Rattus norvegicus: one gene and its partner. The protein of the gene in region 1 interacts with the protein of each later gene in a pairwise test. Links are inferred from orthologs where the notes say so. Each region holds a gene or a part of one and is shown on either strand. Other genes may lie near its edges.

Region 1 (11,116 bases):
ACAGATGTCATACACAGGTAAAAACACCCACACACATAAGGCTGGTTTTTTTTGTTTGTTTTGTTTTGTTAATTTTTTTTATCTTGAAAGAAGAAGCAGAGAATGATAAAGAGGTTTGACATTGACTTGTGCACACACGTTCGAACATGACTATACACACATGCACACATGCACATGTGCACATATGCACATATGCACATATGCACACAGCAGACCCAAAAACCAAATATATGGTTTACAAGAAGGCCCTATGACAGGGTGCTTTCCACGATCCAAAGAAAAGGCCGCACAGCCACTCCTCTTGGAAGAAGCATGTCGGGGTTGGGGATTTAGCTCAGTGGTAGAGCGCTTGCCTAGCAAGCGCAAGGCCCTGGGTTCAGTCCCCAGCTCCGGGAAAAAAAAAAAAAGAAAGAAAGAAAGAAAAGGAAGAAGCATATCAGTGAGCTTGGCATGGAGAGAGGGACTAGAGCGTCAGGTGTGTTTGTGGCAATTGGTCCCCCTCGCTTCCATGTTCAGGCACAAAGCAGATATAGAATGAACTAGCATTCTCAAACGGTGGTGTTTAAAAATGCTGCTGTTAAGTTGGGCAGTGGTGGCGCATGCCTTTAATTCTAGCACTCTGGAGGCAGAGGCAGTCGGATCTCTGAGTTCCAGGCCAGCCTGGTCTACAGGGCTACACAGAGAAACCCTGTCTGTGGGGAAGGAGGGGAGAGGGGATCGGCTCCTCTTTGCTAGACTGGTTTGGGACTAAGAGCAGCAGGGTCAAGAACTTGCTTCTCTCCCTTTATAAGTCTCCAAATTGGAGGGCAAGCCACACTCACACTTAGCAGGCTAAAGCCAGTGTGCTGAATCTGAATCTGCCTGAGAGGTTGGGAGAGTTTGCAGTTGGGAGCCCATAGCATTAGGGTGACGGAGCAGAGGGTAGCCATTGATATCAGCATTCAGTGGGCACATCAGGCACGTCTTCAAGTCTCACATCATCCAAGTACAAATGACAGCAGCATTGTTCTGGAATATGGGCTGAGCGGAGTTTGTTTTTTTTTTTTAAGTGTACATGCAGATAGAGCATTCACAGACATAAAATAAATAAATCTGTTTTTAAAAGTGTTATGCCAGGAGCAATGACACACCTTTATTTTAACCCTAGCACTCAGGAGGCAGAGGCAGGCAGAGCTCTGTGAGGCCAAGCCAGCCAGGGCTACATATTGAGACCCTGTCTTTACAAAATTAGCATAGACTTATTACAGAAATCTTTGAAAAAAAAAGACTCAAAGTTAAAAGTTGTTTTTTAGAGGTAGACTTGGCTAACTTGGAACTCACTATGTAGATCAGCTTGACCTCAAGCCAGAGAGATCTGTTGCCTTTACTTCCTGAGGGCCTGTATTAAAGGCATATGCCACCATATCTGGCTAAAGTGGAAGTTCTTACCTTACTCCAAATACCCATCAAGGGGAGGGGACAGTGAGATGGTTCAGTAGGTAAAGACAGGCCTGATGGCCTGAGCCATTCCCTAGAATCAGCCTGGTAGAAGGACAGAATCAATTCTTTTTTTTTCTTTTCTTCTCTTTTCTTTTCTTTTTTTTCCGGAGCTGGGGACCGAACCCAGGGTCTTGCACTTGCTAGGCAAGCGCTCTACCACTGAGCTAAATCCCCAACCCCCAGAATCAATTCTTGCAAGGTGTCTTCTGATCTCCACACTCATGCCATGCACATGGGCCCTCATGAAAACATGCCTGTGTGCACATGCACACCCACACCCAAATAAATCTAAATCTAAATAAGAACCAAACCCCGTGAGGGATCAGGCACCCCAGTGACCACGAAAGATGGATGAGTGGCTGAGGTGGAGAGGTTAGGCTAGGAATGGAAGGGAGTAGACTTAGCAGTTGTAGGGAAATCAGGCAGAAGGAGAAGGGATGATTTCTGAATGGGGGGTGGGGATCATTTGGAATACTCAGGGCTTGGCTTTTGGCTAGAAGGAGGTAGAGAGTGTGTGGCAAACACACCACCAAGGCTACTCACCAAAACACTGGGAGTAGAGTTCCCTGCGCACAGGGCAGATGCCCGTCTCCCTGGCCTGCCTCTGCTGCAGCTTCAGGTCCAGCTGCTCCTGGAGATGCACCACATCCATTCTGGTGCTGGGTGTGCTGGACACCTGCTGGATCCATAGCTGTGTGTCTTCTACCCACTCCCTGTGACACAGATACAAGCCACCAGACCTGAGCAGAGGGCCCTTGGAACTCTGCCTGGGCAGGAGCAGGGAGTGGGGGTGGGCAGCATAGCCATCCTGTCACTTCTGCCTCCCTCTCTTTCCTGAGCCACGTCCACTATGCAGCCTCCACAGGACACATACCTTACTGTTGGGCAGATGGGCACTCTCTATTCTCCACGAGACTACAACCCTCTGCTCCAGGTCATACCTGCCTAGCATGTTGAGGACAGATGTGTGGTCATGCTGCTTGATTTGAATGGAGAATGTGGTGGAAACCCCCCTACACTGGCTTATGGTGAAGACACAGAACACCATAAACCTCGTGCAAGCCACTAGGAAGCATTTGTGTATGTTGGGAGTATGGAGGTTCTTAAAGTGCTGCACTTGCAATGGCTGCCCATGATGAATTCTGTGCTGGAGGAACAGCCGAGTTCTGCAATGACGGGCTTGCAGGCAGAATGGCAAGAGAGGGAGAAGCTTCTATGTTGGTGGGAGAGAATCCACTCATACGTGACACCTCTCTCTCTCGGCCTCCATCTCTGGAGAAGTTCACAGGTTCTCTGGTTCTTTTAATCCAAGAGAAAGCTTTTTTGTTGTGGACATAAATAAGCCCATTAGGCGGAGGTTTCTGAGAGTTCTAGCGAGGCTGTGTAGCCCAGGTTAGCTTCAAACTCTTCCTGCCTCTGCCTCCTGGGTTCTGGTATTAAAGGTGAGCTCACTGGGCCTAGCCTTATTGAACATTTACGGGCTTTTGAGACACACTTTGTTATGTAGCACTGGCCAGTCTAGTACTCCTTCTGTAGTCCAGGCTGGCCTTGACTTTGAGGCAATCCTCCTGTGTCTTGCAGAGTGCTGGGATTAAACTCTCTATGAGGAATCTTGATGGAGATACCAAAGAAACAGAGTATCGGGAAGGGGGTTTAGGAGGAACAGGTCTGAGCTAAGAAGACCCAACTGTGAAAGCAGACATCTAAAGTCACGAGAGTGCTCAGAACGTGGAGGGCATGGTTTTAGAGGGTGCCTGCCTGGCTATGAGCATCCAGCCATATGAGACTCCATGAACTCCAGAAAGCTTAGGGGAAATCCAAGGTAAAACACAGGGAGACACCTATGTTCTGGGGCCAAGAGCTTAAACCTTCTCCCAGTCATCCCTCTCTCTCTACCTTGGAGGCAGGATGGCATTCAAGATTTCTTCTGCTTGTTTGGTAGGATCTGGGACACAGGAAGTTGAGGGCAGCTTGGCCTTGGGTGGTTGTGGGCCTGCACCAGAGGGTCCAGGCTGCTGAACTGTGACTTTCAGTGGCCGAGCCTAAGAAGAAACAGGTGAGTCAGTCCAGTCCCTCCAGATTTGCCTCAGTCTCTTGTCGAGCTTTCCCCATTTCCGGCCTATTTCCCTCATCTGTGGTCTCTAAATAAACAGGAGCGCAGAAGACCACGAGGGATATGTCTGGCTCTGTCCCTGTATTTGAACTGGTGTTTCTAGAATGGTGGTAAGGCCTCTGCTCTGACTGTGTAGACATAGGTAAGTCACAACCAGACCTGTTCTTGGACCTCACTACCACAAGCCTCATCTTTTCCATGTGACTTCTTTCTCATCTTAAATTTGTCCTCTAGGGTCACAGTTAGGCTTCTTGTAGTCTTCTCCCAACCTCCATCCTTGTCCAAGTTCCCTTGGCTGTCAGCCCTAGCAATCTGTCTCCTGAAATTCCAGAGATCCTCAAACCTGGGATGTCTTTCCCCACGGGATTTTGTAGGATCTCGCATTTCCTGAGACATGTTCATACCTTGGGGCTCCGTTTTTCTGTATTCCGGCTCACCAACACCGGGGTGTCATATTTGAGCAGAGAGTCTGCGGGGGGTATCATGGTGGCTGTAGGGGTTGCAACTCCGTAGCGGTCCCTCCGGGTGGAGCCTTGTTTGCGATCACCATGGAAACCCCTCCGCTCCTTGCCCCATGGACGGGGCGGGGCTTCGGAGGAAGGCGGTGCCCGGCCGCGTGCAAGTTTTGTCCTACTGTGCTTTCTCCACCAGCACTAAACTTCTTGGTAAACAAGATTGGAGCCCTAGCGTTAGGTCTAATTCGGGATGTGATGAAATGGACAGACCACCTTTGCTTGAAACGAAAGTCATTTATAGTATTTGGCGACGATTGGCACTTGGAAGCCAGAGGCTGGCGGATCTCTGTGAGTTCCAGGACAGCCAAGGCTATATAGAGACACTATCTCAAGAAACAAAAAAGAATTTCACAGTGTTGAGTACGTGTCTGTGTTTCATAACTACTAAGAACGCGCAACGAACAGAGCTGGATTAGCTTTCCCACATAAGATTTTTTCTTTTTTGTTTTAAAGCTGGGTGATGGTACCATACACCTTTAATGACAGCATTCGGGAGCCAGAGGCAGGCAGATCTCTGTTAATTCAAGGTCAGCCTGGTTACAGAGTGAGTTCTAGGACAGACAGGATTAAACAGAAACCCTGTCTCGAGAAAAAAAAATTGTCACTTTTTGAAGTCCTGGGGGTTAATCCAGGGCTTCGTACACGCGAGGTAAACGCTCACTCTGTCTCAGCCTTCACTCCCCTTCTAACTGATTTGTATTTGGCAGTGCTGAGGATGAATCCAGGGCTTTGCGCTACACGAGCTGCAACTTTTCCAAAATTTGAGACAGAGTCTCACTAAATTGCCTAGGCTGGCCTCGAATTTACTGCGATCGGAGGCTGGTCGTAACTTTTCAGTATTCCAGCCACACCTCTCCAGCAGCCAGGACCCCAGTGCCACTAGCCCGGGGATTCCCAGGGTGTGAACTCAAGCACTGGGCCCCGCCCACCAGGGGGGCCCGACACCGTGAGGGCTTCTGGGATAGCGTGCTGCCCGGAAGCGGAAGTGCAAAGCGGTCCGTCACTTCCTTTGGCTCAAGTGGCTCAACGGACTGTGCAAGTGACTCTCGGCCGGGCCGCAGGATGAAAGCGGGGAAGAGCGAGCGGGAGCGAAGCAGCCGGCGGCGACACCGGTCAGGCGACGCTTTGGCGACCGTAGTAGTGAAGCAGGAACGTCTAAGCCCCGAACCCGTCGCACACCGCCGACCTGACGCTCCAGCCGCTAGCCCGCCCCCGCCCGCCGCCGAGTCGGGCTCGGCTGGTCACCGCGGGAGCCGAGCCCGGGGAGCGAGCCGGTAAGCAGGCCGCGGACGGGATGGCGCGGGGACCGGGTGGTGCGAGCGACTCGGGAGTGCAAAGCACCTTTTGAGTTGAAATGAGATTCCCCCGCCTGCCCACGAGCGGACGGTGGGAATGTCTTTTCCACTCTACCTACAAAGAGTATTTCACGGTGGGTCTTGGCGACTTCTTCTCGGCACTCATTCGCCGATGCCTCCATAAAGCATCGATTTACTGAGTGCGTAGTGTGGCTTAACGATCAATTAAGGTACTGGGTCACAAGGCAAAGAAGAGAGATGCTTTTACAACTTGGCGAAATTGGGCATGCTCTAACCCTAAGGAAAATAACAGATAATTTCAGTTAGTGTTAAAGACAAATTAAAACTGTAATATGGTAGCGAGAGGTTGGGTAGAAAGAAGTGAGGACTTCTACAGAGGTGATCTTTAAGCTGAGACCGATATGATTGATCCATTCTCTTTTGAAGAATCCAGGAAGAACCCAGTGTGGTGGGCATGCTTTGTAACACAGCAATGGAGACCATAAGTTAGGAGGATCCTGAGCTTGTACACACACACAGACACACACACACACACACACACACACACACACACACACACACACACAGAGAGAGAGAGAGAGAGAGAGAGAGAGAGAGAGAGAGAGAAATATATGCACAGAACTTGAATTGGAATTCTGTTTGTTTTAAAGGTTGAACAACAACAGCAACAATAAAAAAACCAAAAATGAAACAGGCAGCATATCTGGAATTGAGTGATGGAGCAGCATTGTAGGCTGGTAGAAATGATGTGGGATGGAGGACAGGGCGGGGCCCTTAGACCTGCTAAGGGGTTGGATGTGGTTGTTAGAGAAGGAAATATGTGAGGGAAAAAAACAGGCTAGATTGACTTCCTGGATAGTAGTGCCAATTAGGATGACAGACTGGGAAAGAAAGGTTTCTAAGGCTTTGGGGTTCATTAGGTTGTCTAAGTGAGGAGGCTTAGCAGGCAGTTGTGTATGTGGCTGGGAGAAGTGTTTATTGAAGGTAAAGGCCTGCCGTGGCTACAGAGTCCACACGTGTGCTGTGTTTAGGAGGTGAGCCTCATACTGGAAGCTAACTTATGTGGGGGAAGGGCCATTGAGGTAAAAATCCTGTGTATCATGCTCTGAAAAGGTCCCCAGCCAAAAAGAAAAGCAAGTCCTCCGGCAGAAGAAGCAAGTCTCCTCGGACTAAGAGAAGCCGGAGTCCCCACTACTCCACGGTCAAAGTGAAGCAGGTGAGTTGAGTGGGCAGGAACCTTGGATGGGAAACTCAAGTCCAGAGCTGTTGCCGGACCTGAAGAGGTTGCAGCCATGGTGTGTAGACATGTTTCATTGTCCCTGCAGTGAGCTTTTCTAAAAACCAGATATGTATTTGGGGCTGTCTTTCCTGAAATCTTAGCATTTGGAAGCAATGGTTGATTTGATTCAGAAATAATACAGAGTGGGAAACATGTCCACATTTCTCCCAGCGGTAACTTCTCACACACCCGTGGACAGTGTCTTGGTCAGGACACATTTACTGCCATCAGGATGCCTCCGATGTTCTTCAGTGACTCGTTCTCCGCCTTTATTCTTCCTTTCCCCCTGCCCAGCCGCTTCTCTCTCAGTTCCTGGATGCAACCTGTCTTTAGGTTTGAAGACTGTCTGTGGTGCTGTTTAAACCAGCACAGATGGTCACAGATGGTTGGGCCTGCGAGTGCCCATGTGCTGCAGTACCATTTTTTCAAAGGACATTGGTTTTCTCCATTGGATTATTTTACTTCCACATTGAAACTCAGGTATATGTCTATCTGGCCAATCGCATGCAGACTTGATTGCCGCATTTACATAGTAAGTCTCGAAACTGAATGCCCTCTTTGCTGCATTGGTGTGAGGGTTTCAGAAGCCCTAGAACTAGAGTGAGCTGCCATGTGGGTGCTAGGAATTGAACCCAGGTCCTCTGGAAAAAGCAGTCAGTGCTCTTGACTAGTGAACCATCTCTCCACACTACCCTCTTTTTTTTCCCCTTGTCTATATATCTATGTAAATGTTAGAATTTGTGTGTGTGCATGTGTGTGACAGAGACAGATCTTTTAAAAAATAAATTTTTTGCATGTGTATGAGTGCTTTCCCTGCCCACACGTATGTGTACGTACTGTGTGTGTGTCTGGTGCCCATACCAGACAGGTCCAGAAAAGGGTACCAGATTCTCTAGAACTTGAGTTAAGATTGGCTGCAAGCCACCTTAGGTGCTAGGAACTGACCCAGCTCTTCTGGAAGGAGAGAAAGTGCTTTTAACTGCAGAGTTGACTTCCAGTTCCCCTAGTAACGTCTCACAAGAAGCAGGTGTGGTGGTGTGTGCATATAATTCTGCACTGAGGCAAGAAGATCACAAGTTCAATACTGTTGTTTTTTTTTTTTTTTTTTTTTTTTTTTTCCGGAGCTGGGGTCAATACTGGTTTTAAAAGATTACTGAGGGAGGCTGGAGAGATGGCTCAGGGTTAAGAGCACTGACTGCTCTTCCAGAGGTCTGAGTTCAATTCCCAGCAACCACATGGTGGCTCACAACCATCTGTAATGGGATCCGAATCCTCCTTCTGGCGTGTCTGAAGACAGCTACAGTGTACTCGTGCTCATATACATAAAGTAAATATAAAAATGAATCTTTAAAAAAAATATTACAAAGAAGCTTTCTCAAAAGTAAAAAGGGCAGGGGTTGGGGATTTAGCTCAGTGGTAGAGCTCTTGCCTAGCAAGCGCAAGGCCCTGGGTTTGGTCCCCAGCTCCGGAAAAAAAAAAAAAAAAAAAAGTAAAAAGGGCTGGGGATAAAATTTAGAGTAAGTGCTTGTTTCCAGCCCCGCATCCTAGTCCCATTACCATTATGTGTGTATGCATATTGATGGAATATTAGCCTTAAAAGGAAGAAAATTCTGACACGTGCTACAAAATGTCTGAATCCTGATGACTTGCTTAATAAACCAGGGGGGAAAAGCATGATTTTGTAGTTGAGACAGGGTATCTCCTGCTAATTAGGCCCAGTTAGCCTGAAACTTGCTTGGTAGCACAGGCAGGCCTAGAACTCTTGATGATTCTCCTGCCTCAGTCTCCTGAGTGCTGATATTAAAGGTGTACCATCAACTGAACTCCACCAGAGGAGTGCATGCAAGCCTGTGTGTCCCTTTGGAGACAGGGTCTCATTCTCATTCTCTTAACTTCTAGAGACCCACCCACCTCTGACTCCTGAGGGCTGGGATTAGAGGTGTGCAGTCCCTTCTCTCTTGACAGGAATTGCTAATCTGAGAGAATTCCTACTTCTGTTAGCATTGGTACTGTGGTTATTAGAAGAAGCTCCCCTTCAGAGTCAGGCTAAGTGTTGGCTTCTTCTGGAAACTGCTTTGCACTTGGAGCTGTCACCTTACTGACTGACTTCTTATCCATCTATTGCTGCTGTTTTACAAAACAAGGTCTCTGTGTAGCCCTGGCTAACTCTGTACACAAGGCTGGCCTCAAACTCAAAGAGCTCTGCCTCCGCCTCCTGAGTACTGGGATTAAAGGTGTGCGCCACTGTGCTCATTGATCTACTGACTGTGTATTGCTGTTTGTGCGACGTTGATTTTCAGTATGTGCCTCCATTTTGTTAGAAATTTGGAAACTGCCAAGTAGTACTTTCTTGTAGGTTTCTTGAAGTGTTCGTGTTTCTTAGGTTTATCCATAGATGTTTGAATCATTTCTGTAATTGCTGAAGTTGAACCTTTTGAGATTATTTCAATCTCCTTTTGGCCTGTGAGGAAGTTAACTTTTCCCTTTATATATCTTACATGTGACTGTTCTGTTTTCTATACCTGCTACCCTGTGAGTTTGCCTGCAGGTGATTGAGAGAGGTATTTCTCCTTGTGGTAGGGTCTGGATGTGGGTTTGAGGAAGAGTATGGAATATGAAGTCTAAAGGCCCTTCAGGGGAAAGAACCACACTGATAGCCTTGTGTGGATAGGAATTTGTTCTGAATCCAGGCCACAGATGTGCTGTTGTTGTTTGAAATTGTTTAGCATATGCATGTCTGTACACCACATAATGTAGTGCCCACACTTACCACAAGAGGGCATTGGATTCTCTTGGAACTGTAGTTGTAGATGGTTGTGAACAGCTTTGTGGGTGTTGGGAAGTAAACATGGGTCCTCTGGAAGAGCAGTCAGTGCTCTTAATTGCTGAACTATCTCTCCAGTTCCTGCAGCTTGTTCACAGAGAAAGGGATGCTATCTTTCCCTTACTGAATCCCATCTGAATTTCAGGAACGGGAGGACCATCCACGGAGAGGACGAGAGGATAGGCAGCACCGGGAGTTATCAGAACAGGAGCACAGGAGAGCACGGAACAGCGAGCGAGATCGGCACCGGGGCCATGCCCGCCAAAGGAGGAGCTCTGATGAGAGGCCTGTCAGTGGGCAGGGTCGGGATAGAGACAGCCAGATCCTGCAGGCCCAGGAAGAAGAGAGGGACTTTAATAATGCCAGGCGCCGGGAGCACCGCCAGCAGAATGAGAGTGCTGGCGCTGAGGCTCAGGAGGTGATCCCTCGCCCTGCTGGTAACAAGAACAAAGAGGTGCCTGTTAAAGAAAAACCAAGCTTTGAACTTTCTGGGGCACTTCTTGAGGACACTAATACCTTCCGGGGTGTGGTCATTAAATACAGTGAGCCCCCAGAAGCCCGCATCCCCAAAAAACGGTGGCGTCTCTACCCCTTTAAAAATGATGAGGTGCTTCCAGTCATGTACATCCATCGGCAGAGTGCGTACCTGCTGGGGAGACATCGCCGCATCGCGGACATTCCTATCGACCATCCCTCTTGCTCAAAGCAACATGCAGTCTTCCAGTACCGGTAGGTAGACCAGAGGGAGGACTGGAAAGGGAGATGGGTGAACATCTCACTTAGCTTTCCTAAGGCTGACTGGCTGTGTGGAAATGCTGCTGAACCCATTACCCCTGGTCCAGTGAGCTGGACTGAAGGAGTACTGTAAGTCTTAACAACCTGTGGGTGATCTCCGGACATTTGTATGAGCGGCTTGAGTGTGATGTCAGAAATCCAGATATTAGCCTACCATTGTGTGGCAGTGTAGACCTGTAATCCTGGCTCTCGGGAGGCTAAGCAGGATTGGTGGTGTATATCCTCCTCTAGGTGTGGGTTATGTTCCATGACCCCATCTCTAAACAAACAAATAAATGATAGGAAGAAAGAGAAATTAAAAAGACTCCTGCTGCGGTCCTGTCCTGTCTCCACCTGCCCCCAGGGCTTTCTGAGGACCAAATAGAAATAAGTAAAGGCCAGAGTCTGGATGCCAGATAAATGCTAGCAGAATCTGCTGTTTGGGAATGCATCTTTACCATTTGATACTCAACCTGTGAGGAAAGCGGTTCAGTGGTAACATCCTTATCTAACAGGAGAGAAAACTGCAGCTCAGTACAGAAAGCAATCTTAGAGCAAAACTCTGTCCACATCTAGCCCTTGGCTCTCAGTTCCTAATTCTGTTTTCCCTTCATTCGGGCTGGTGCTGAAATCATGTGCAGTGTTGGAGAAAGTCTTTGCGTAAATAGCAAGAAGCCTCGAGTTCTGCACTGGGACCTCTGTGGCCCTCCATCGCCATCTACCAGCCACAGTCAGCTTTGCCTTTTCTCCTTGTTATGTAAAGTGCTCTAAACTTCCTTATCAGCGCAGCACTTCCCTGTGATGTCCTAGAGTTTT
Region 2 (10,607 bases), on another chromosome or scaffold:
CTTAACAGTGCCTTTTGGGAAATCACTGAATTGAGTTTTACAATTTTCCAGTTTTGTTAGTTTGACATGATGGCTTGACAACATGTTGATATTTCAAGCATGAGAATTTCTTTTTTTTCGGAGCTGGGGACCAAACCCAGGGCCTTGCACTTGCTATGCAAGTGCTCTACCACTGAGCTAAATCCCCAACCCCGAGAATTTTTTAAAGAGTGTTTCATGTATTTCCTTCTTTTCCACTTAAATTTTATCTAGCAAATAATATTTTCTATAAATACCTTAACTTTTAGTTAACATCGAATAGTAGGATTTGTTTTCTTGAGGTAAATATGCTAGCTAATAAATTGTAAAATCTATATATGTGCAAATACTGCTCACTGTTGTCTTTGAGTATATAAAGCCAAGGCAGTCCTACTAACATGCCTATCCCTATCTTAGGTCCTTCCCCCTCCAGCTGGCTATGTTCCTATTCGAACTCCAGCTCGAAAGCTGACAGCAACTCCCACACCTTTGGGCGGTATGACTGGTTTTCACATGCAAACTGAAGACAGAACTATGAAAAGTGTCAACGACCAGCCATCTGGGAATCTTCCATTTCTAAAACCTGATGACATTCAGTACTTTGACAAACTATTGGTAAGTGGTGATAGAAAAACTGAAGTATTGCTTGTTGTTTGGGAGTTATAAATCATGAATTTGATGTATTTTAAATTTTATTGTAGGTTGATGTAGATGAGTCAACACTTAGTCCAGAAGAGCAAAAAGAAAGAAAAATAATGAAGTTGCTTTTAAAAATTAAGAATGGTACACCTCCAATGAGAAAGGTAAGATCTATTATTTTTTTTTTATCAGGACAGGGTAGCCGCTGGCTATCTTGGAACTCATTTTGTGTAGAGCAGGCTGGCCTCGAACTTACAGAGATTTGCCTGCCTCTGCCTCTGCCTCTGCCTCCTGAGTGCTGGGATTAAAGGTGTGCACCACCACCTCCCAGCTTTTTATTTTTTATTTTTATTTATTTATTTTTTTTGGAGCTGGGGACCGAACCCAGGGCCTTGCGCTTCCTAGGTAAGCGCTCTACCACTGAGCTAAATCCCCAGCCCAGCTTTTTATTTTTTTAGACAGGGTCTCTACACAGTCCTGGTTGTTCTGTGATTTACTAGGTAGACAAGGTTGGCCTAGAACCTGCAGAGGTCCACCTGCCTCTGCTTCCCAAGTGCTCAGATTAAAGATAATGCATCACCTTTATTTAATAAAATTGGGGGTGTGTACCACATCTGATTCCTAGTCCTAGTGTTTGATTTGTTATATTCATTATTTTTGTTGGTTAAACTATCCCAGGCTGGCCTGAAACTCGTAGCCCAGGCTGAATTTAGACTGATAGCCATTCTTTTTGCCTAGTTACCCAGGTAGTGGAATTAGCAGAATAAGACATGACACTCTGCTCTGCTTCCCTTTTGACTTTGTATATGCTCTCTGATAAGTTGCTTAGCGTGATCTTAGCTTGTTCAGGCAGGACTGAGCTTTGGAGCCTCTTATCCTGGAGTACTGGTTGGGATTACACACTCATGCTCCAAGCTCAGTGAATTTAACTTCTAATCAAAGGAGTTTTTTGTTCTGATAAGGATATGAGATGGCTAATTCTTTTTGTCCTTGACAGCTTTAAAGTGTTTAGAACTTAGAGGTAATTAGTGGAAATTATGACTTGTAACAACCAAATGTGGCTTGAACATAGAAGAAGGTTGTTCAGGCAGAACTAAGGCATATGGTTTAAGCTTGTATAGATAGCTCCATAGCTCTACTAAATTATCCTTTTCTTTATTTAAAAAAAAATCTTGGGCTGGAGAGATGGCTCAGTGGTTAAGAGCACCCGACTACTCTTCCAGAGGTCCTGAGTTCAATTCCCAATTCCATGTGGTTACATGGTGGCTCACAACCATCTGTAAAGAGATCCGATGCCCTCTTCTGGTGTGTCTGAAGACAGCTACAGTGTACTTATATTTAATAAATGAATAAATCTTTAAAAAAAATCTTATTTATGGGCATGTGCACATGGAGCACAGGTAGAAGGTCAGGATAACTTGTAGGAATCAGTTCTTTCTTTCTATTGTGTGGGTTCTTAGGATTGAACTCAAATGATCATTAGGCTTGGTGGCCTGCCATTACCCTTTACACCCTGAGGAAGGAATCTTGCTAGTGCTCTAAGTTACCCCTTTTTCTTTTATGCTCATCTATTTTTTACACACATGCATGTGTGTGTGCATGGTGCATAGATATGTGAAGGGGACAGGTAGGGTCGTGCTCCAGGATGCTTCAGAGGACGGCTTTTGGAAGTTGTTTCTCTCCTTTCATTGTCTGGATCTCAGGGTTGAAGTGGAGTCGTTAGTCTTGCGATAAGCACCGTTATCCTCAGACCTCAACTGCCACTAAATTAATTGCCCCCTTTAAATGAGCTGATAGTGTTGAACTTAGACCATTAGAGTTTGAATATTAAAAGTTTACAGAAATGAATTCAGACGACTGTATGTAAATTGTCTACAAAAGTGCAAATTATATTATTATTCCTGGTGAAATTTGCCACTTTGGAATGTGTGTTTGCTCATAAAAAATAACTTTCTTTTCCATTGATTTTCCTCAGGCTGCCTTACGTCAGATTACTGATAAAGCTCGAGAATTTGGAGCTGGACCACTGTTTAACCAGATTCTGCCTCTATTGATGTCCCCTACACTTGAGGATCAAGAGCGACATTTACTTGTGAAAGTTATTGACAGAATATTGTATAAACTTGATGACTTGGTGCGGCCATATGTGCACAAGGTTGGTTTGTTCTCTAGTGTTGAATGGTTTCACTTTTATTTTTCTGGTTCTATTTTGCACTGTGTGGAATATGGAAGTTGTTATTCTCGTGTGTGTGTGTGTGTGTGTGTGTGTGTGTGTGTGTGTGTGTGTGTGTGTGTGTGTGTGTGTAGCCCTGGCTGACCTAGAACTTGTTCTGTAGTCCAGGTTGCCCTTTTGAACTCAGTTCCACCTGCCTCTGCCTCCTGAGTGCAGATTAAAGGAATGTGTCACTACTGCCAGAGAATTAAAACTCTTTAATCTATTTCTCCATTAACAAATGTCTTTGATAAATTGATGTGGAAATGTAATTCTTTCTTTTTCCTTCATTCAGATTCTTGTGGTTATCGAGCCACTGTTGATTGATGAAGATTACTATGCTAGAGTGGAAGGCCGAGAAATTATTTCTAATTTGGCAAAGGTATTCACATTAAATTCCTAGAAAAGGAAGTTTGTCTTTCCATGGGTTGAGGATTAATGGTACTAACTAAAGCTGCTGTTGTAACTTTTCCTTTTAGGCTGCTGGTCTGGCTACTATGATTTCTACCATGAGACCTGATATAGATAACATGGATGAATATGTCCGAAACACAACAGCTAGAGCTTTTGCTGTTGTAGCCTCTGCTCTGGGCATTCCTTCTTTATTGCCTTTCTTGAAAGCTGTGTGTAAAAGCAAGAAGTCTTGGCAAGCGAGGCACACTGGTATTAAGATTGTACAACAGATAGCCATTCTCATGGGCTGTGCTATCTTGCCACATCTCAGAAGTTTAGTTGAAATCATTGAGCATGGTAAGTGGTGATGTGTCGTTTATAGATCAGCTGTCCTGATAGGGGCAGGTGTATATGTAAAATAAATGAAAGGCTTTCCTCACACAAACATTATATTTAGAAATGGGGTTTGTAATATTTTCTGTTAACAAATTGCCTTTGTCTAAATTATATGTACTGCAAAATAAATTACTGCAGTTTGGATACATGGTTCCATACATTGCTAACATTTGGATTGCATTGTGAAAATGGTCTGGGTACCTATTCATAACCGTCTGATTGTATAGGTCTCGTGGATGAGCAGCAGAAAGTTCGGACCATCAGTGCTCTGGCCATTGCTGCTTTGGCTGAGGCAGCAACTCCTTATGGTATTGAGTCTTTTGATTCTGTGCTCAAGCCCCTATGGAAGGGTATTCGCCAACATAGAGGAAAGGTAATCTGCGCATTAGATCTGTTTCTGTTGCTAGTCATTAAGATAACCCAAAATTAATGTACTGATATGTGTATATGTATATATTTTACTTTTAAATAGGGTCTGGCTGCTTTCTTGAAGGCTATTGGGTATCTTATTCCTCTTATGGATGCAGAATATGCCAACTACTATACTAGAGAAGTGATGCTAATCCTTATTCGAGAATTCCAGTCTCCTGATGAAGAAATGAAGAAAATTGTTTTGAAGGTAAGGAATTAGTAGTTCAGTTTGTGGGCACATGTTTGTTAGCACACTGTGCATGTGTTAGGAAGTTCAAAGAGATCTTTATAACAAAACAAAACAAAACAAAACAAATCTATGTTTCACACTATAAAAGTTATTGCAGTTTGGATACATGGTTCAATACATTGCTAACATTTGGATTGCATTGTGAAAATGGTCTGGGTACCTACTCATAACTGAGTCTGATTGTGTAGGTCTCGTGGGTGAGCAGCAGTTGTGTTTGTCAGTGCTGCATTTGATTTCTTTTTTAATCTTTTAGGTGGTGAAACAGTGTTGTGGAACTGATGGTGTAGAGGCAAACTACATTAAGACAGAGATTCTTCCACCTTTCTTTAAACACTTCTGGCAGCACAGAATGGCTTTGGATAGAAGAAATTACCGACAGGTGACCTTTAGTATTATAATTTGATTCTCTTTTGATTGTCTTTTTGACAATTTCTTTACCTGCTTAAAATGCATATTACATACTGTAATTTGCTTTTGACTATCTTTTTTTTAAAAGATTTACTTATTTATTATATATGAGTACACTGTAACTGTCTTCAGACACACCAGGAGAGGGAATCCGATCTTATTACGTGAGCCACCATGTGGTTGCTGGGATTTGAACTCTGAACTTCTGGAAGAGCAGTCAGTGCTCTTAACCGCTGAGCCATCTCTCCAGCCCTGCTTTTGACTATCTTAAAATTTATACTTACATATACTTTACTGTGACCAGAGATGGAATTTTTAATTTTAAGCCCATTCTTTCTGTTTGATTTGTCTTTTGTCTGAGATAGGGTCTCACAAAGATTTCTCTACTAGAAATCCCACTGTAGAACTCAAACTGACAGTTCCATCTGCTGCTCCCTTCCATGTCCTGGGATTAAAGGTGTGCCTGGCCACACCTGGCCTCTTAAAATCTTTGTTTGTTGTCCTTTTTTTTTTTAAGATTTATTATTTTATATATAAGTACACTGTTTTCAGACACACCAGAGGAGGGCATCGAATCCTATTACAGATGGTTGTGAGCCACCATGTGGTTGCTGGGAACTGAACTCAGGACCTCTGGAAGAGCAGACAACAGTACTCTTTTTTTTTTTTTTTTTTTTGGTTCTTTTTTTTCCGGAGCTGGGGACCGAACCCAGGGCCTTGCGCTTCCTAGGTAAGCGCTGTACCACTGAGCTAAATCCCCAGCCCCGACAACAGTACTCTCCCCCCCTCCCCCCCCCCAAGAGCTGGGGACCGACGGCTGGGGACCGAACCCAGGGCCTTGCGCTTCCTAGGCAAGCGCTTTACCACTGAGTAAATCCCCAGCCCCTGACAACAGTACTCTTAACCACTGAGCCATCTTTCCAGCCGCATCTCTCCCCCAACCCCTCCCCCTCTTTTTTTTTTTTTTCTTTTTTCTTTTTCTTTTCTTTTTTTCCGGAGCTGGGAACTGAACCCAGGGCCTTGCGCTTGCTAGGCAAGCGCTCTACCACTGAGCTAAATCCCCAACTCCCCAACCCCCCTTTTTAAAGCATACATTTAATGTAAAATTTTGATTAATTAGTACATTTGAAACTTTTATGTTTTTAGTTTTTATGTGTATTGGTGTTTTGCTTAATGTGTATCTGTGTACCATTTTGTGTGTGTCATGCCTGCAGAGGCTAGGTCATCAGATCTGGTTTTGGAGTTATAGTTAGAAGCCACCATGTGGCTTGGGTCCTCTGGGAAGAACCCAACCTCCACCCCCAGTTCTCTAACTGCTGAGCCTTTTGTTGAGCCCAACCTGTGTATATGTTTATATTATGTTTAAACTACACTCATTTACTTGGTCTGTATATATGCCCTGGGGCATGCATGTGTGAAGAGGGTTAGAGAGCAGAGAGCAGGGGGTTATCAGATTTGTTGGCAAGTGCCTTTTACCTCAAAGGTTTGACCCCTCTCTACAGCCCTGTTTGCTTGTTTGTTTGTTTCTTTCTTTCCTTTTTTTTTTTTTTTTTGACAAAATTTTACTTTGTAGCATAAGCTGGTCTCAAATCTTCGTCTCTCTACCTCACCCTCCCATCTCAGCAGTACTAAACTGTAAGTCGATGGTTTTATCTGGTAAATTGAAGCTTTAGCTAGCTGAAACAAGCATAGTTTGAATTGTTTTGTTTTGGAGATAGAATCTTAAGTTTTGAGCTGGCCTGGACCTTGATATCTAATCTCCATCCAGACTGGCATTGAATGTGAAACATCTGCTTCAGTCTTTTGAGAGTCGGGGTCATAGGCATGAACCAGCATATCTAGGTGCTCTCATACTGAAAGCTTAGTAAGCTTTATTTCCTTGGAAAAGTAATGATTTGAAGGGTTTTGTTTTGTCTTTTAGTTAGTCGATACAACTGTGGAGTTGGCAAACAAAGTGGGCGCGGCAGAGATCATATCTAGGATTGTTGACGATCTGAAGGATGAGGCTGAGCAGTACCGGAAAATGGTGATGGAAACCATTGAGAAAATTATGGGCAATCTAGGTGCAGCGGATATTGACCATAAACTTGAGGAACAGCTTATCGATGGCATTCTCTATGCTTTCCAAGAACAGACTACGGAGGTAAGGGCAGCCAACCACATGTGTGGGTGAAAATGAGAGATTTGGGGGTCAGTTGTCTCCTTGCACTACGTGTTTCCTGGGGAATGGGCATCAGGCTTGGAAGAAGGCACTTTCCCAGCTGACATCACCCTAACAAACTTAATTATTGTGGCATTTTGATTGACTTTCATATATGTAGAAAACCTACTTTTTACAGCAGATAGCCCTTAAAAGACATTTTAATGACCAATTTTCCTCAGTTTAACAAATGTTCTTTTTACCTTTGATTTTTTTGGTTTGATTTAAAAACAATTGGGATGTTTGGGTGGTTGGAAAAGGTTAGATGTTATTTAACAATGAACTTTTGGTTAAAACTAAATTCTATATTTTTAGTGATTTTTGTTTTTGTTATTCTAAATATAACTTAACTGTTCTCTTTTAGGATTCAGTAATGCTGAATGGCTTTGGCACAGTAGTCAATGCTCTTGGCAAACGAGTCAAACCATACTTGCCTCAGATCTGTGGTACAGTTTTATGGCGTTTGAATAATAAATCAGCAAAAGTTAGGCAACAAGCAGCTGACTTGATTTCTCGAACTGCTGTTGTCATGAAGACTTGTCAAGAGGTAATCTTTTCTACTAGATGAATCTTTTTTGAACAAGTGGCTTAATGGAAAAGTAACATCTTTAATGTTTCTTTTATTTAGGAAAAACTGATGGGGCACTTGGGTGTGGTGCTGTATGAGTATCTGGGTGAAGAGTACCCTGAAGTATTGGGCAGCATTCTTGGAGCACTGAAGGCTATTGTAAATGTAATAGGTATGGAATTTGCTAGCCATGTGAGGGTTTGGCCTTTTAATTTTCTTTGTGTTTTGAAAACAAAATATAAAGTTGTATTTAGGAGTTTGTTTTTTAATCTTCTTTTCTTGAGCACTTTAGGATTGTCAGAATGTCACAAAAATCTCACTCATTATTGTCTATTTATAGTTTACCTAGAAATGTTAAAGGAGGGCTGGAGAGATGGCTCAGTGGTTAAGAGCACTGACTGCTCTTCCAGAGGTCATGAGTTCAATTCCCAGCAACCACATGGTGGCTCACAACCATTTGTAATGAGATCAGGTGCTCTCTTCTGGCCTGTAGTCACATATGCAGGCAGAATGCTGTACATAAAATAAATAAATCTTTAAAAAAAAAAAAAGAAATGTTAAAGGCGAAATTTAGTACAGAAATTTAAAGTACAGAAATAGTTATAGCCCAAAATGTTTTGAGTTAATGGGAGAGAAGGCCCTAATAGAACTAGTACATCAGCTAAAAAATAATCTAGGATTTTCTATAAGGGAAGGCGCAGTCCTGAGGGTGCAGTTTTAGAAATTTTTTTTTTTTTTTTTTTTTGGTCCTTTTTTTCGGAGCTGGGGACGAACCCAGGGCCTTGCACTTCCTAGGCAAGCGCTCTACTACTGAGCTAAATCCCCAACCCCTAGAAATTTTCTTTATCTACTCTCCTATGTTTAGGTCTTTTGACTGGTTGTTGAGTTTTTTTGTTTTTTTTGTTTTTGTTTTTGTTTTTTTTTTTTTGTTTACTATGAGTTCAAAGAACTCATACTTTTAAACCATACTTGGTTAAAAAGAGTTATCTGTCTTGTCTTTTATCTGTAATTAAAAACACAAAGGACTGTTGCGTTGTGCAGTATTATTAGAAAAGGGGCACAACCGGTTCCTGAGCGTCATTGCTCCATGCTGGGCCCCTGGTGCTCTCAAACCCAGGAGGTCACTCCCTGGTGTTAGTTCTTGCACTGTAGGGCCATATAACTAACCTTAATTTATCTCAGCGGCGGCTGGCTTCAGTGCGGCAGCACGCCATGTTAACCTAGCTATCTTCTGGCCCCAGCGGTCTCTCCACTCCCATTGCTAGTCACCCTGGCCAGCTCAGAACTCTGGTCCCAGATACCTGGCAACATCAAGACTCAACAAACTGTAACCCAAAAACCAGATTTATATGTTAAATACTCAATGTACAATACATCCACACAATTAACTTACAACCAGTTGATGAGGATGTGAACAGCCCACCTACATAAGATAAATTTGCCTATAGAAATCTACCCCAGCTACCTTGGCAATTGAGGACTACCAGGATCTGGGTCATCCTTCCCAGTCTCCATTTTGATTCTCCCTCTACCTCCTTCTCTCCCTCCCTATAAAAACTTTGTCCCCATCTTATTCTTTTACTGTCCAATCATGGCCTTGATCTGACTCGTGCCAGCCCTCACCTGCCTAATGGCATCAATCTACACAGGACAGTCTCCGGTATGGAGAGACAACTTTTGTTTTCAAGGAATTATGATGAAGGAAACAAAAGGATTTCTGTGTTTAATTGTGTTTACACATAGTGTTGAAACTATGTTTAGGACTGAAAGGGGTGGAAAAGGCTAAGAGTTCATTATAACTGACTGCTGATAATCACCATTTTCCCCCTTTTGGGGAAAGGAATAAGGACTATTATGCAGTATAGAGCTTTGAACTGTTGTATTTATATAGAACCCCCAATATAGCCCAGATTTATACAGACAATGACTTGCCAAACAGTCTTACTCACTCGTGGTTCTCTGATTTGCCAGAATTATAGACTATATTGTTTGTCTAGCAAAGCAGTGGAGAATCAGAGCAAATAATTCTAGTTAGATCAAGAGTGCCTACTAGCTGCCTCTTTCTCTCTTCATAGATCTAATAAATAACACCTAGGTGTGCCCTGCATTTCAGGGAGACTGGAGGTCTGTTTAATTTTGCAGTTACAGGGTATAGGGACCCTTACTGATTTGATCTGATCTAACTTTGGCTTCTGTTGCTATATTTGGCCACAACATAGGCTGTTCCCATATTTAAAAGTAAGTTTACAAATAACATTTCATAAAATCTTTCTATTACTGAGTAACCCTCATTTTTAAAATCACTTTACTGATTTCTTCTTTTTTTTTTTTTTTTTTTTTTGGGGTTTTTTTTTTTTTTTTTCGGAGCTGGGGACCGAACCCAGGGCCTTGCGCTTCCTAGGCAAGCGCTCTACCACTGAGCTAAATCCCCAACCCGATTTCTTTGATTTCTAAATGTAACTAGAAGCTGTTAATATTTTTAAGAATTCTAAGTCCAATTAGAATCTGGAGCTTTTTTATCCACCGGTAGCTTATGAGTTCATATTTTTGCATTGTACTGTAAAAGGAAAAATGAAAGACTGCAATTCAGGTTTTAATAGTTCCTTGATTTCTGTCAAATAGGTATGCATAAGATGACACCACCAATTAAAGATCTGTTGCCTAGACTCACCCCCATCTTAAAGAACAGACATGAAAAAGTACAAGAGAATTGTATTGATCTTGTTGGGCGTATTGCTGACAGGTAAGAAGATTACATAGCAACACCAAGTACATATTTAGCTCTCAAGTATAGACAGTATTTAGATTTAGCAAGATTTCACTTTAAGTGGTAATAGGAAATAGCAGTGTGGGTGTCTTCCTCCCTTACCCTGACTCCCCAAACAGGGTTTCTCTGTGTATCTTTGGCTGTCCTGGATCTCACTCTATAGACCAGTCTGTCTGTAAACAGAGCTACCAGCCTCTGCCTCCCTCCCGAATGTTGGGATTAAAGGCGCAGTATAGTTGTAAAACAAAGTCAGGCTTGCTTTCTTTTCTCTTCTTTTGAGACAAGGTCTGACCGTATCCTTGGCTGGCTTGGAACGCACTATATAGACCAGGTTTGAACTTCGAT

Evidence for each region.
Region 2: the proteins of Snip1 (region 1) and Sf3b1 interact in a two-hybrid assay, tested with the Homo sapiens proteins (2 studies listed by BioGRID and IntAct). The link is inferred for Rattus norvegicus from reciprocal best matches to the Homo sapiens genes SNIP1 and SF3B1.

What each region holds. Positions count from the first base shown.
Region 1 is NC_086023.1:142,607,892-142,619,007, forward strand, and holds the start of Snip1 (smad nuclear interacting protein 1), read left to right. Parts: upstream 1-5,136; 5' UTR 5,137-5,169; coding exon 5,170-5,381; intron 5,382-6,536; coding exon 6,537-6,639; intron 6,640-9,671; coding exon 9,672-10,255; intron 10,256-11,116. Other genes in the region: Dnali1 (axonemal dynein light intermediate polypeptide 1), read right to left, coding at 2,023-2,192, 3,376-3,521, 3,997-4,077. UniProt on the Homo sapiens protein: Required for pre-mRNA splicing as component of the spliceosome. As a component of the minor spliceosome, involved in the splicing of U12-type introns in pre-mRNAs. Down-regulates NF-kappa-B signaling by competing with RELA for CREBBP/EP300 binding.
Region 2 is NC_086027.1:63,993,148-64,003,754, reverse strand, and holds part of Sf3b1 (splicing factor 3B subunit 1), read left to right. Parts: intron 1-435; coding exon 436-633; intron 634-719; coding exon 720-821; intron 822-2,632; coding exon 2,633-2,812; intron 2,813-3,164; coding exon 3,165-3,251; intron 3,252-3,348; coding exon 3,349-3,619; intron 3,620-3,885; coding exon 3,886-4,031; intron 4,032-4,130; coding exon 4,131-4,277; intron 4,278-4,572; coding exon 4,573-4,698; intron 4,699-6,648; coding exon 6,649-6,870; intron 6,871-7,291; coding exon 7,292-7,474; intron 7,475-7,555; coding exon 7,556-7,667; intron 7,668-10,117; coding exon 10,118-10,238; intron 10,239-10,607. UniProt on the Homo sapiens protein: Component of the 17S U2 SnRNP complex of the spliceosome, a large ribonucleoprotein complex that removes introns from transcribed pre-mRNAs.